Nothobranchius furzeri: one gene and its partners. Each later gene encodes a partner of the first gene's protein in a complex. Links are inferred from orthologs where the notes say so. Each region holds a gene or a part of one and is shown on either strand. Other genes may lie near its edges.

The links. The genes of interacting proteins can lie anywhere in the genome.
Region 2: nup107 (region 1) and nup85 share a complex: the UniProt entries of both Homo sapiens proteins name them as parts of the nuclear pore complex. The link is inferred for Nothobranchius furzeri from reciprocal best matches to the Homo sapiens genes NUP107 and NUP85.
Region 3: nup107 (region 1) and cetn3 share a complex: the UniProt entries of both Homo sapiens proteins name them as parts of the nuclear pore complex. The link is inferred for Nothobranchius furzeri from reciprocal best matches to the Homo sapiens genes NUP107 and CETN3.

The regions. Positions count from the first base shown.
Region 1 is NC_091741.1:38,075,443-38,078,954, reverse strand, and holds part of nup107 (nuclear pore complex protein Nup107), read left to right. Parts: intron 1-50; coding exon 51-110; intron 111-187; coding exon 188-333; intron 334-412; coding exon 413-461; intron 462-550; coding exon 551-620; intron 621-3,512. UniProt on the Homo sapiens protein: Plays a role in the nuclear pore complex (NPC) assembly and/or maintenance. Required for the assembly of peripheral proteins into the NPC. May anchor NUP62 to the NPC. Involved in nephrogenesis.
Region 2 is NC_091752.1:54,263,462-54,267,401, reverse strand, and holds the start of nup85 (nuclear pore complex protein Nup85), read right to left. Parts: upstream 2,804-3,940; 5' UTR 2,670-2,803; coding exon 2,637-2,669; intron 2,232-2,636; coding exon 2,141-2,231; intron 2,046-2,140; coding exon 1,889-2,045; intron 1,789-1,888; coding exon 1,718-1,788; intron 1,632-1,717; coding exon 1,588-1,631; intron 1,439-1,587; coding exon 1,369-1,438; intron 1,242-1,368; coding exon 1,120-1,241; intron 1,003-1,119; coding exon 868-1,002; intron 1-867. Other genes in the region: small ubiquitin-related modifier 2, read left to right, coding at 3,509-3,529. UniProt on the Homo sapiens protein: Essential component of the nuclear pore complex (NPC) that seems to be required for NPC assembly and maintenance. As part of the NPC Nup107-160 subcomplex plays a role in RNA export and in tethering NUP96/Nup98 and NUP153 to the nucleus.
Region 3 is NC_091746.1:37,904,219-37,908,292, forward strand, and holds the start of cetn3 (centrin-3), read left to right. Parts: upstream 1-1,271; 5' UTR 1,272-1,415; coding exon 1,416-1,432; intron 1,433-2,283; coding exon 2,284-2,422; intron 2,423-2,787; coding exon 2,788-2,902; intron 2,903-2,985; coding exon 2,986-3,177; intron 3,178-3,546; coding exon 3,547-3,590; 3' UTR 3,591-4,074. UniProt on the Homo sapiens protein: Plays a fundamental role in microtubule-organizing center structure and function. As a component of the TREX-2 complex, involved in the export of mRNAs to the cytoplasm through the nuclear pores.

The DNA.
Region 1 (3,512 bases):
TGAAACTGAGAAAAAACAACGGTATGAACCGAAACGCCTGTATGTTTCAGGACCAGTTAAACCGATATGAGAAGGCGATCTACGCCGGCCTGAGCGGAAACCTCAAACCAGTAATTCCATTTACAAAGTAGAGGAGTGATCAGATTGATGCGTTGACCTGTGGAGGTGACTGGTGGTTTTTGTTCAGCTCCTTTCAGTGTGTGAGTCATGGGAGGACTGTGTGTGGGCCTACTTCAGAGTGATGGTCGACTCGCTGGTAGAGAAAGAGCTTATGTCGTCGGGCATGGCCCATCAGGAAGTAGAGTCGCTACCCCGAGAATATCTGGAGGCCAAGTAGGAAACACATTAACTGGAAGAAAATATTCCAAAATAAAGTTTCTGACGACTGTACTGTCTGGGGTTTTCTTCACAGTTGGACCATGGAAAAGGTTTTTGAGGATCTCCAAGCGTCAGAATCAAAGGTGACGCTCTCGCCGACCGATTGTGTGGATTAAAATGAGAAATGTCTGACAGCGCCTCATCCTGAAGCTCTTTCTGTGTTTATGTTCAGAGAGTTCTGGATGAAAGTAAAGAACATCATCACATCATCCAGAAGTTTGTCATCCTGGGAGATCTTGACGGTAAAACAACCCAAATCTTTGTTGTTGTTTTTTTCTTATGGAGGCTGAAAGGGATCAAAAAGCTGCTGATGGGCACGGGCCAGCGTGTTCCCTCGCCCGGACCCGGGTCACCGGGGCTCCCCTCTGGAGCCAGGCCTGGAGGTGGGGCACGATGGCGAGCGCCTGGTGGCCGGGCTTTTACTCGTGGAGCCCGGCCGGGCACAGCCCAAAGAGGAAACGTAGGTCCCCCTTTCCATGAGTTCACCACATGTGGAAGGGGCCGGGTGGTAGCTGTATGCAGGGACCTTGGAGGTCTGATCCTCGGCTACAAAAGCTGGCTCTCAGTATGTGGAATGTCACCTCTCTGGTGGGGAAGGAGCCGGAGTTGGTGGGTGGGGTTGAGATGTTCTGACTAGATATAGTCGGACTCACCTCGACGCATGGCTCTGGCTCCAGAACCAGTTTCCTTGAGAGGGGTTGGACTTTCTACCACTCTGGAGTTGCTCCCACTGAGAGGCGCCGAGCAGGGGTGGGCATACTAGTTGCCCCCCATCTTGGTGCCTGTACGTTGGGGTTTACCCCAGTGAACGAGAGGGTAGCCTCCCTCCGCCTCCGTGTGGGGGGACGGGTTCTGACTGTGGTCTGTGCTTCTGCACCAAACTGCAGCTCAGACTACCCACCCTTTTTGGAGACCTTGGAGGGGGTGCTGGAAAGCGCTCCTTCAAGTGACTCCCTCGTTCCGCTGCAGGACTTTAACGCTCATGCGGACAACGACAGTGAGACCTGGGCCCTCATTTGTCGACCGTTCGTAGAAAGGGTCCTCTATTCCCTCTTACGACTGAAATTTAGAATGTGTGTGTGCGGTGGCCTCTCGTACGCACGTCTGATGGTAAATCCCAACCTGTGCGTACCCAGGTGCTCGTGTCCGTTCTCAGTAATTTACATACAGAAATGGACTGGAATCGGATTAATGCGGTTTGTCTGTCGCGCCACAAAGGGTCCCAAACCACAGCATAGCAGCAGGATTTGTTTTGAGATCAGAGCGCTCATGGAGATGGCGTTCCCTTCAGAGAGCACGCTCTGCTAAATCCTCCATTAACACAGATCAGCCGTGATATTAAGTCAGATTTCCATCGGTCACGGGTGTCTTTTATTGGTTTTAGCACTAATTATGTGAAAAAGCCATTTTTCCACCGACATAATTACATACTGGTACCGGCAGTCCAAACGGAATGCAGGTCGGATGATCACAGAGGCAAAAACACATGTGTGGGAGGAGTTTGGTGAGCCCATGTAGCAAGACTTCCGTATAGCTTTGAGAGGAGATTCAAAGCTCTTGATTTACAGGTCGATCTGCATTCCTACCCTGACCTATGGTCACGAGCTTTGGGTAGTAACCTAAAGAATGAGAGCACGGATACAAGCGTCCGAAATGAGTTTTCTCCGCAGGGTGGCTGGGCTCTCCCTTAGAGATAGGGTGAGAAGCTCAGTCATCCGGGAGGGGCTTGAAGTAGACCCGCTGCTCCTCCACATCGAGAGGAGCCAGCTGAAGTGGCTTGGGCATCTGATCAGGATGCCTCCTGGACGCCTCCCTGGTGAGGTTTTCCGGGCACGTCCAACCGGGAGGAGACCTAAAGGTAGACCCAGGACACGCTGGGGGGACTTTGTCTCTCGACTGGCCAGGGAACGCCTTAGGGTTCCCATGCCATACCATGCCATAGTTTACTTATACAGCACATTTAAAACGCAGCATGGGAGCTGCCCAAAGTGCTGCACAGGCTGGACCAAATCACGACCAATCAAAGCAACAAAAACAGAAGATAAAAATACCGATCAGTAAAAGCAAATAAAAAATGAGGAATACTAAGAACACAATAAAACACTAAAACGAGTCACGGTCTAAAAGCCAAATCGTAGAAGTGGGTCTTTAAACGAGATTTAAAAAGTAAGCAGGTCAGAGAGATGGGGAGATGCCAGGTCATCGAGTGCTTTAAAGACAAAAGTCAATAACTCAGTAGCTGCTGAGAGGGAAGTCTGGGCCTCTCGGCTTAGGCTGCTGCCCCCGCGACCCGACTCCGGATAAGCGGCTGAAAATGGATGGATGGAGTTTAGTTGTTTTTTTTTAATATATATTTTTTTAAGTTTAGTGTTTCAATCTGATTTTCTCCTTGAGAGCCAAAGGAAGCTGCTTTAGTTTTAGCTTTGTTACAAAAGGGATAAAACTGTGTTCAGGAATGGATGGAAAACAAAAATTTTAACAGGCAGATTCTCTATTTTATAAATGGTGTTTACAGTTTTTCCACAAAAATAAGCAATCAATGATGAACAAGAGTCTGCTTCTAGACCTGCAGAAAGAGAAAAAAGGGAAATATAAAATCAACATTATTTTACTGAACAATCACGATAATAAGTCACAGTGCATTTAGTGGCAACCACAGCCTTAAGACCTGTGTTGAACGTGCCCAAGTCCATACTTATGAGAGCACCTAGTAAGCACCTGTGTGTGTACACACGCTTGTTTTTGTAAGGTTTCTCTATAGGAGCGTCCAATAGAGAGTGTGAGGGGCCACAGATCTGCCCCCTAAAGATGTGTAGGAGACAGGGGGAGCTCCAAGTCTCAGAAATCCAGGAGCTGCCCCAGAGCACAGGGACCCCAGGGAGACAGTGACCAGAAAAGCCCCTACCCCCTCAAGAGGCGCAGAGGATCGCCCTGGGGGCCACAACCAGCAGCCGGCAAAGTCCTGGGAGACATCAGCGGCAAGCCCACAGGCCCGCCCCGCAGCCTCCCACCCCCAAGCCGGCTGAGCCCGGGACCCGGATCCCACCAGGCAACCACCGGATCAATCAGGCAGATGCCAAAAATCTTAAACCCCTCTGACCCGGGAGCCGCGGACACTCAGGCAGACCGAAGCA
Region 2 (3,940 bases), on another chromosome or scaffold:
AAGCCACAACAGACGGCGCCATCATATTAAAAATATCACAAAAATAGGTTTTCACCATCTAAAGAACATCACCAGAGTCCGCCCCATTCTCTCTCGGGCCAATACGGAGACGCTAGTAATGCATGCTTTTATCACCAGTAGGATAGACTACTGCAATGCCCTGCTTTCTGGTCTTCCTAAAAAGAGGACTTCAGGTCTACAACTATTACAAAACTCAGCAGCACGTGTCCTGACGAAGACCAGGAAGCGGGAGCACATCACTCCAGTTTTAGAATCACTGCATTGGCTCCCCGTATGTTTCATGTGTGTATGTGTGCCGGACAATGAGTGTTGTGAAGGGGTTTTTATTCTCAGACTCTTTTTAAAATTCTGGGGATGGGAGGGAATGTGGGTATGCGGGGCCTTTTTAATTTGTTAAGCACTTGGGAGTTACATGCATTGTATGATTAAGTGCTATATAAATAAAGTTTGATTTGACGGCTAATGCAGGAAGAAGGGGTAGAAGATCTGCATGTTAAACTCACCCGAGTGACCAACTGTATTTCAACAATAACAAAACTGGTTTAGTCTTTAAATAAAATGGTAAACTGCTGAAAATTTTAGATACAAGACTCCTGAAATATGACACTTTAGGGGAAGGGTTGATTTTCTTGTGTTGGGTGCATCGTGTTTAGGTGTGTGAAGTCGCTACAAACTTTAAATACAAAAAACATTTGATCTATTTCAGAAAATGTCAAAAGCTATTAAGAAAAACTAAGCCAAAAGGCCAAGGTGAAAGACTAGGGTCTTTTAAATGTCAGGTCAACTTTAGCATTTTAGGCTTTTTGTTGAGACAACAGAAAATGTGGTAAAATACATGGTGCTCACATTATAGAAGGGCATCTTGCTTAGCAGGCTATCCATCAGCTTGTACATGCTCTTGGCAGCAGGTTGCAGCATCGCCTGTTTCATCAGCATCTTCCTAGTGTCTTCCAACCTTCCCTGTAGCACATAACTTAAAACCTGAAACACACAAAACGCAAAAAATGAGATCTCCCACTGTAGTCTGTCAGGAAAGAACATATTATTTAAAGAACAGGGATTAAATAAATGATCTAAGAGGGTTTTTACAGCACATACCACATCCCAGTAGTCACGATGCTCAGCAGGGCTGTCACTCTGCAGCACCCCCTTCGCCTTCTCATCCACATCGGATTTATGTAACCTCACCCAGTCCAGAAGGTGTAGTAGGAGGGAACCAGCTGAGAAGACACACACACATCACTGCATTGTTTTTTGAGCGTGTGTTCATAATCTCAAAGTCAAATACTCTAAGAAAAAATGTTTTCCGAAAAGAAAAAGAAGAATTAAGACTAATCAGCCTCTGACCTGGAGCAGCATCAATGAAAAGCACTTCACACAGATTCCAGATCAGTTCTATGGCCAACAGGATGGACACCTGTGACAGGAAAAATCAGATGGACATCAGAAAAATGGACCAGAGAATAAAAATGTTATGTCATGTGTACTTAGGACCTTACGTCATGAACTAACTGCATGGTGAATATATTTAGTTAAACTCCAAGACAAAACATTTTAAGTACATGCCTGATTTCCGTACTGTGTGGCCATATCTGTGTCATTTGCAGAAACTGTACAAAATGCATAATAATGGAGTTTATTATTCTTGCATAAGATTGCTCAGAACATGTTTTTAGTAAAATTCAAGACAGCTCACCTGCAGCTTGCTGAAGCTCTTCCATACAGGCTCGAATCACAGACCTGTAGTTTCTGCTGATGCTTACAAACCTGTAAAGAAAATCTCAGTTATCATAAGTAACATTTATCTGCTCATTTTAACTTAAAAGCAGGGTGTACAGTGGTGGAGGACCCCGTGGAGCCTTCTTACTGTGGTTTTTTGCTCTTGCTTGGGAGATCATCTTTGATTGTCTGCAGTCCAACAAAGATGTGATGCGACTCGTTAAAAAGTTTTCTTAAGATGGGGGAATAGATGTCCTCGTCTTTCCGCACCACGTGGATGAAGGCACAACCTGACCCTGTAGGTCCTGAAACAAAGAAAACACATTACACAAAATGCATCAAAAATACAGTTAAAAAAAAAGCACTTGAGGCAGGACTTTGATTTAAAAACTCCTTCTACCTGATGCTTTGTTTTGTGTCTCATACACAAGTATATCACCAGGACCCCATGCAAATCCCATACGCTTCCCAGGTCTGATTCCAGAAATATTCTGCATTTAAAAAAACACAACATTTTATGAAGTACAAAGAGATATTTTATTAAACACTTTAATCAAGCAAAACCTTGCATTTCTAAAAAATTAGTATTATTAAATAGTTGACCCACTTCAAACTATAAAGAATGTCAATGTTGCCCCATTTTTAACTAATGAATACCATATAACAAACACATCAACCAACTCGTACAGGCGTTTACAAGCTAATAATAACACTTCCCTCACCTACGTTTGAAGTCACTCGCACAGTGATTATCCTTTATTGCGCGTTTTACTAAACCCAAAATAAATTGTTGGTTTCGTGATTTCAGAAGGTTGTTGCGGTTCCGCTAGCTTGTTAGCAGTAGAGTGGCTATTAGCAGTAAAAACCATGGTAAAAACACACAAGAGACAACTTACAGTAACTACCGGCTCAACGTCTACTTCCTCCATCTGGTAATAATGTTTCTGATGCAAAGAAAATATAAAATACAAACTATTCAGCTACAAAATATACATTAAATACATGTGATGCTCTCATCTGCTATTACGCGCCGTGGTTCATGGGTGCTTGAAATCCACTATTGCGCATGCGTCACGAAGGGCTGCCCTTTCTAATGCCTGTTTTTTAATCGACTGCTGTTAATAAAGCAAATAAAATTGTCCCTCTCATATACATTGGAATTAGATAATTCGTAACGCATGATTACGCAATAAAATGTGGTTATGTGGAGTCAGATTTACCTTTAATATTAATTCACTCAAAAACACAAACATTCCCACTGGAAAATGTTTATAAAGAGCACTTCTGTGAAATATCCTATAACCTATAACTGAACTGAAGTTGCTTTTAGGCATATTTAGTGAAACAAGATGGCCGCTGGTAAACAGGGATAAGACCAGTAACATGGGTATCATGTCTTCCAAGTTTGGATACCACGCAGTAGAGGGATGTTGACTAAACTTCCCGACGCAGACGTGAAGTAATTCACGCAATAACTGTCTCATTTGATAATGTCTACGTTCATAAAGCTTAAAGCAAAAGGGAAAACATCGCTGTGCGCGTGCATGTGGATTATAGCGCCTCTGTGACGCGCTCGCGGGACTCTCCCGCCCATCACCAGACCGCGCTTTCACCTCGTGACCAATTTAAGCAAATGAGTGTCGGCCAAGGTGGACGCGCACGGATACAGGGTCGCGCACGTTTGCAAGATTATTTTAAACGGGCACGAGTACGTGCGCGTGCTCGTATTCTTTGTGTGGCAGCGTAGAGAAGCGCCAAAAGAGTGACCATGGCTGATGAAAAACCAAAGGTTAGTGTCTCCATTATGTCGACTGAGTTTTTTTTACCCGCTTTGGAATGTAGGAACTTAAAAGGAAGAAGCACAACTCCGCATGTTGCGTTACAGACCATTTTAAAGTTGCTTGATACAATTCACCTAGCTGCTACTTTGATAGACCGGAAGGTTTGTGAGCGCGCATCCGCAGGCGCGCATTCTCCTTCCTTCCTCTTGATAACATACAGACGACCAGCTGGTGTCGTCCTCAGTCCAAAAGTCATGTGAGTTTGTGTTGATCTGGGAAAAAGATTTCAACTAGCTTGTGTAAATTAGTGCAACATTTTTGTCTGCACTCAACAGTTTCATATTTCTTAAAAATAAAAAGGTCACATTTTTACAACTACAGAATCTTCATTCACTCTGTGCCATGATTTACTAATATTT
Region 3 (4,074 bases), on another chromosome or scaffold:
CGCATCGGTGCATTCCTAGTTACAGTTTGCTTCAACTATGAGACAGAATGTAAAAAATCCTGGAAGTCACACTGTAAAATTTTCTAAGAAATTATTTGTATCATGGTGCAGAAGATACATATTTAGTGCCTACATATGTGCAATAATTCTGGTCCTCACATACCTGTTACTTCTTCTTTAAGAAGCTTATCTATCCTCCACTTGCTGACTGAATTAGTGGCAACTGGTATCTGTATAAAAGACACCTGTCTACACCTTCAGTCAGTCAGACTCCACCATGGCCAAGACCAGAGAGTTGACAAACGACATCAGTGTCAGGATTGTACACCTGCACAAGATTGGCTTGAGTAAATCCACAACAGGTAAGCAACTTGGTGGGAAGAGATCAACTGTTGCAGCAATTATTAGAAACTGGAATAAATACAAAATCACTGACAGTATTCCTCGACCTGTGGCTCTGTGTAAGATCTCACCTTGTGGGGTACAAATGATCTTGAGAATGGTGAGGAAACAGTCCAGAAGTACATATGGGGAATTAGTGAATGACCTGAAGAGAGCTGGCACCACAGTGACAAAGGTTACTACTGGTAACATACTACATTGTTATAGATTAAAATCCTGTGGCACTCAAAAAGTCCTGGCGATGTTAGAACATCCACAACTTAGTTTAGAGAAAGAAGATTTTTCCTATGAAAGAGCACTCTTTGGTGGGCAAAAACTAAAAGCAGCACTTTTTGGCAACTCTGAACTCTGGCTGCTTAGAATTTCTGAAAGTTAAGATTTAACTGGGCTTGGAATAATAGTTTTATAAAGCAGCTTGAACGTATGAGACTTTAACAGCTGGTGGAGAGGGTGTCCCCCCACCCCAAAATTTTTTTTAAAACAAAATCAAGATTTGAGGTTCATAAAGACCTTGTGAGTGTTACATTAGCACGTGAAGTCATTAGAATAATTCTCTATGTCCAAATTCACCAGATATTGAAAATTTTAGGAGAATTTAGGTACCTTACATAATATACAGGCCCTTTCTTCTTCTTTATGCAATGGTGATGTGTCAGAATATTTTTGATTCATCATTGGTTTGTATGTGTATATATATATATATATATATATATATACCGGGCATATGTATATCCATCCATATGTATAATATAGACTGTGGTATCAGTTATGAACACGAGGTGGCAATAGTGCTCTAATTGACTGCATAGAGCAATGACAACGACCGGGTAAGCGGCCTTGAAGAAGTAACATTAACCAACCAGATCTCGCCTAACTGCTGCCTGGCAACCAGCGACCAATAGGATTCCTGGTGTGTGAGCGCGGATAAACGGATTTGTTGTGTTTGCTGGAAGCTGTAGCCACATAGCATTCAGAATAACATTTGGTTTAAAGGTTTTATAAATTCACCTGGAATGAGTTTATCTCTAAGGTAAGGAGCTAACCTTTTGTCGCGAGATGTGGCTGTTACAGTTCAGTTGAAACCGGTGGTACGTCGAGATTTGTTCCCCAGTTGAAAAACGTACGCCTTCGCTTGTCTCGTCAAGATGATTTCGTCCTGCCAAATTGTACAATTATAGGCGTAGATGTTATTTTTTTTATCAGGATAAGACATTTATGAGGGAACGAGTCCCTTGTGTATAACTGTAAATTGAGTAATATTATCTAATTGTATCGTAATCTGAATTAGATTAGAATTAGTGATATTCACTAAACATGATGAATTTCACAGCTACAGCAATGACCAAATGATTAAGATATATATTTTTAGGGATTTTCTTGAAATAATATTGCTAAACACAACAGTTTACAAAGAAGCTGGCGGAGAAACGGTGGGGGACCCGAATGTACTAGTTTTTTGTTTTGTTTTGTTTTTTTCCATCTGTCAATAAACAATTTCCCCCAGACTTTTGGAGGTCCTCCCAATGTTTTTGGTAAATGTGGGTTGTTTTTGTTGTTGTTGTTGTTGTTCAGCAGAGGCTTTGGAGAATGAGGTTTACCTTATTGTTGACACATGACCTTAAACCTTAACCAAGTTTGACCTACAAAGCTTTAGATGTTCTTCTGGGTTATTTTGCTTTTGATTTTTTTTAGAACAAGGCATAAGGTAGATTTTTTTAAGATCCTTTAGCCTACCCTGTGTCATCAGAGAGACCCCAATAAACATTACAGAAAATGGTTTAGTTCTCATTGGATAACAAAGTGTATGGGTTAATGCATTAATAAGTCATGGCTGTGATACAGGTAGTGTCTGAGGTGAGACTGCATGTGTGTTTGTTTCAGCAGAACTGATCTTGCAGCTGAGACAACCAAGCGCAAGAAGAGGAGGGAGCTCACCGAGGACCAAAAGCATGAAATTAAAGAAGCTTTTGACTTATTTGACACGGATAAAGATAAGGAGATTGACTATCACGAGCTGAAGGTAAGAAAATGGGCCATAGTGGTGGTTGTTATGGTTACCTTATGGTTTTTGTGCCTGAAATAATGCCGTATATAAGTTATGCTTTTATAACCTCATCATTCCTATTTTTCTTTAACTGCTGTGAATGTGGAGCACCAGGTATTTATGTATTATTATGTAAGTAAAAGTAACTAAATACCATTTAATCACCTTTTGGAGAAACGCTAATGGGTTTTCCATGTCTGAAGGCACCCTGCTGAAATAAAGCTCCAGGGGAATTGGAGCTAACGTTCTACAGCAATAACATTTATTTGTTGTTTTAGTGCTAGTTACTAATTGTTCTAATCCTGAATTCAAACCAAAACAACATTTAAACATCTTGTCAGGTGGCGATGCGCGCTCTCGGTTTTGAAGTGAAGAAAGTGGATGTTCTGAAGATTCTGAAGGATTACGACAGAGAGGGAAGTGGGAAAATCACCTTTGAGGATTTCAGCGAAGTGGGTAAGGTGGTCATCGGCTCTGGTATTACCTCATAGCTTGAGGTGCTTCATTAGCTACTAAACCTTTTCCCTACCCCTCAACAGTTACGGATCGCATCTTGGAGCGAGATCCCAAAGAGGAGATCATGAAGGCTTTCAAGCTGTTTGACGATGACGAGTCAGGAAAGATCAGCCTGAGGAACCTGAGACGGGTTGCTCGAGAACTCGGGGAGAACATCAGCGACGAGGAGCTACGCAGCATGATCGACGAGTTTGACACAGACGGGGATGGAGAAAGTAAGACCGGAGTCTGAGATGAGAGCAACTCTGTCTCTCTTTTGTTGTGATTTTGTGTCTGATTAGAGCCGCAGATGCAACAATACCAACATCATCACTGCATCTTCTGGCACACACAGGCATTTTAATTATTTATATGATTGTTCCTAACATTGTTGCTTTCACTGTTAGACCAGATCCTGTCACGTCAGCAGGCATCTGCTGCCCTGGAACAAAATAGATTTACTAACGACAATGTGTAAACATGTTCAGTTAAAGTAACAAAAATCCACTGCTGCTTCGCTTTTTGTTTGTTTTCTTTCATTCTTGCGTCTAAGCTTTCCAGGTAAATCCAGTAGATCTGACCAGGTGTTTTTCCCTTCTTTTCAGTAAATCAGGAGGAGTTCCTCTCCATCATGACCAGAGACCCATGAAGAGGTTTCCCCATCTGTAAGTTGGACTCTTTGCCCATATTGGGAGGAGATATGGGCCTTGTTCTCTTGCTTCTGAGGTGGACTGGACTTTATCAGGAGCCTGGAGCTTTGTTCTGACTTGGTTTGATAAATAAAAGCACCAGATCGTGTCTGGACCAACATCTGCTCACACTGCTCAGTTCCTCTCGTAGACATGAAGTGTCAATATGATGCTGACCTGCTGGCATTTCTTTAAGAAGCGAGCTTTTATTCATGGAGTGTGTTTGTGTAGAAGACGAGTCTGAAGCTCCGTTAGGAACGTGTTAATGTGATGTAGTAAAACACAGAAGATCAGATCTGTTTCACTCGTATCCTATTTGACCTGTTGCAGTTATTAGTTAAATGTGGCATATTTATTTTTAAATTGTTTTGCCAACCCTACTCATTTGTCATTTCCCAAAGAGCCAGAGTCGTCAGACCCGGCACCATCATACTTTAATAAAGT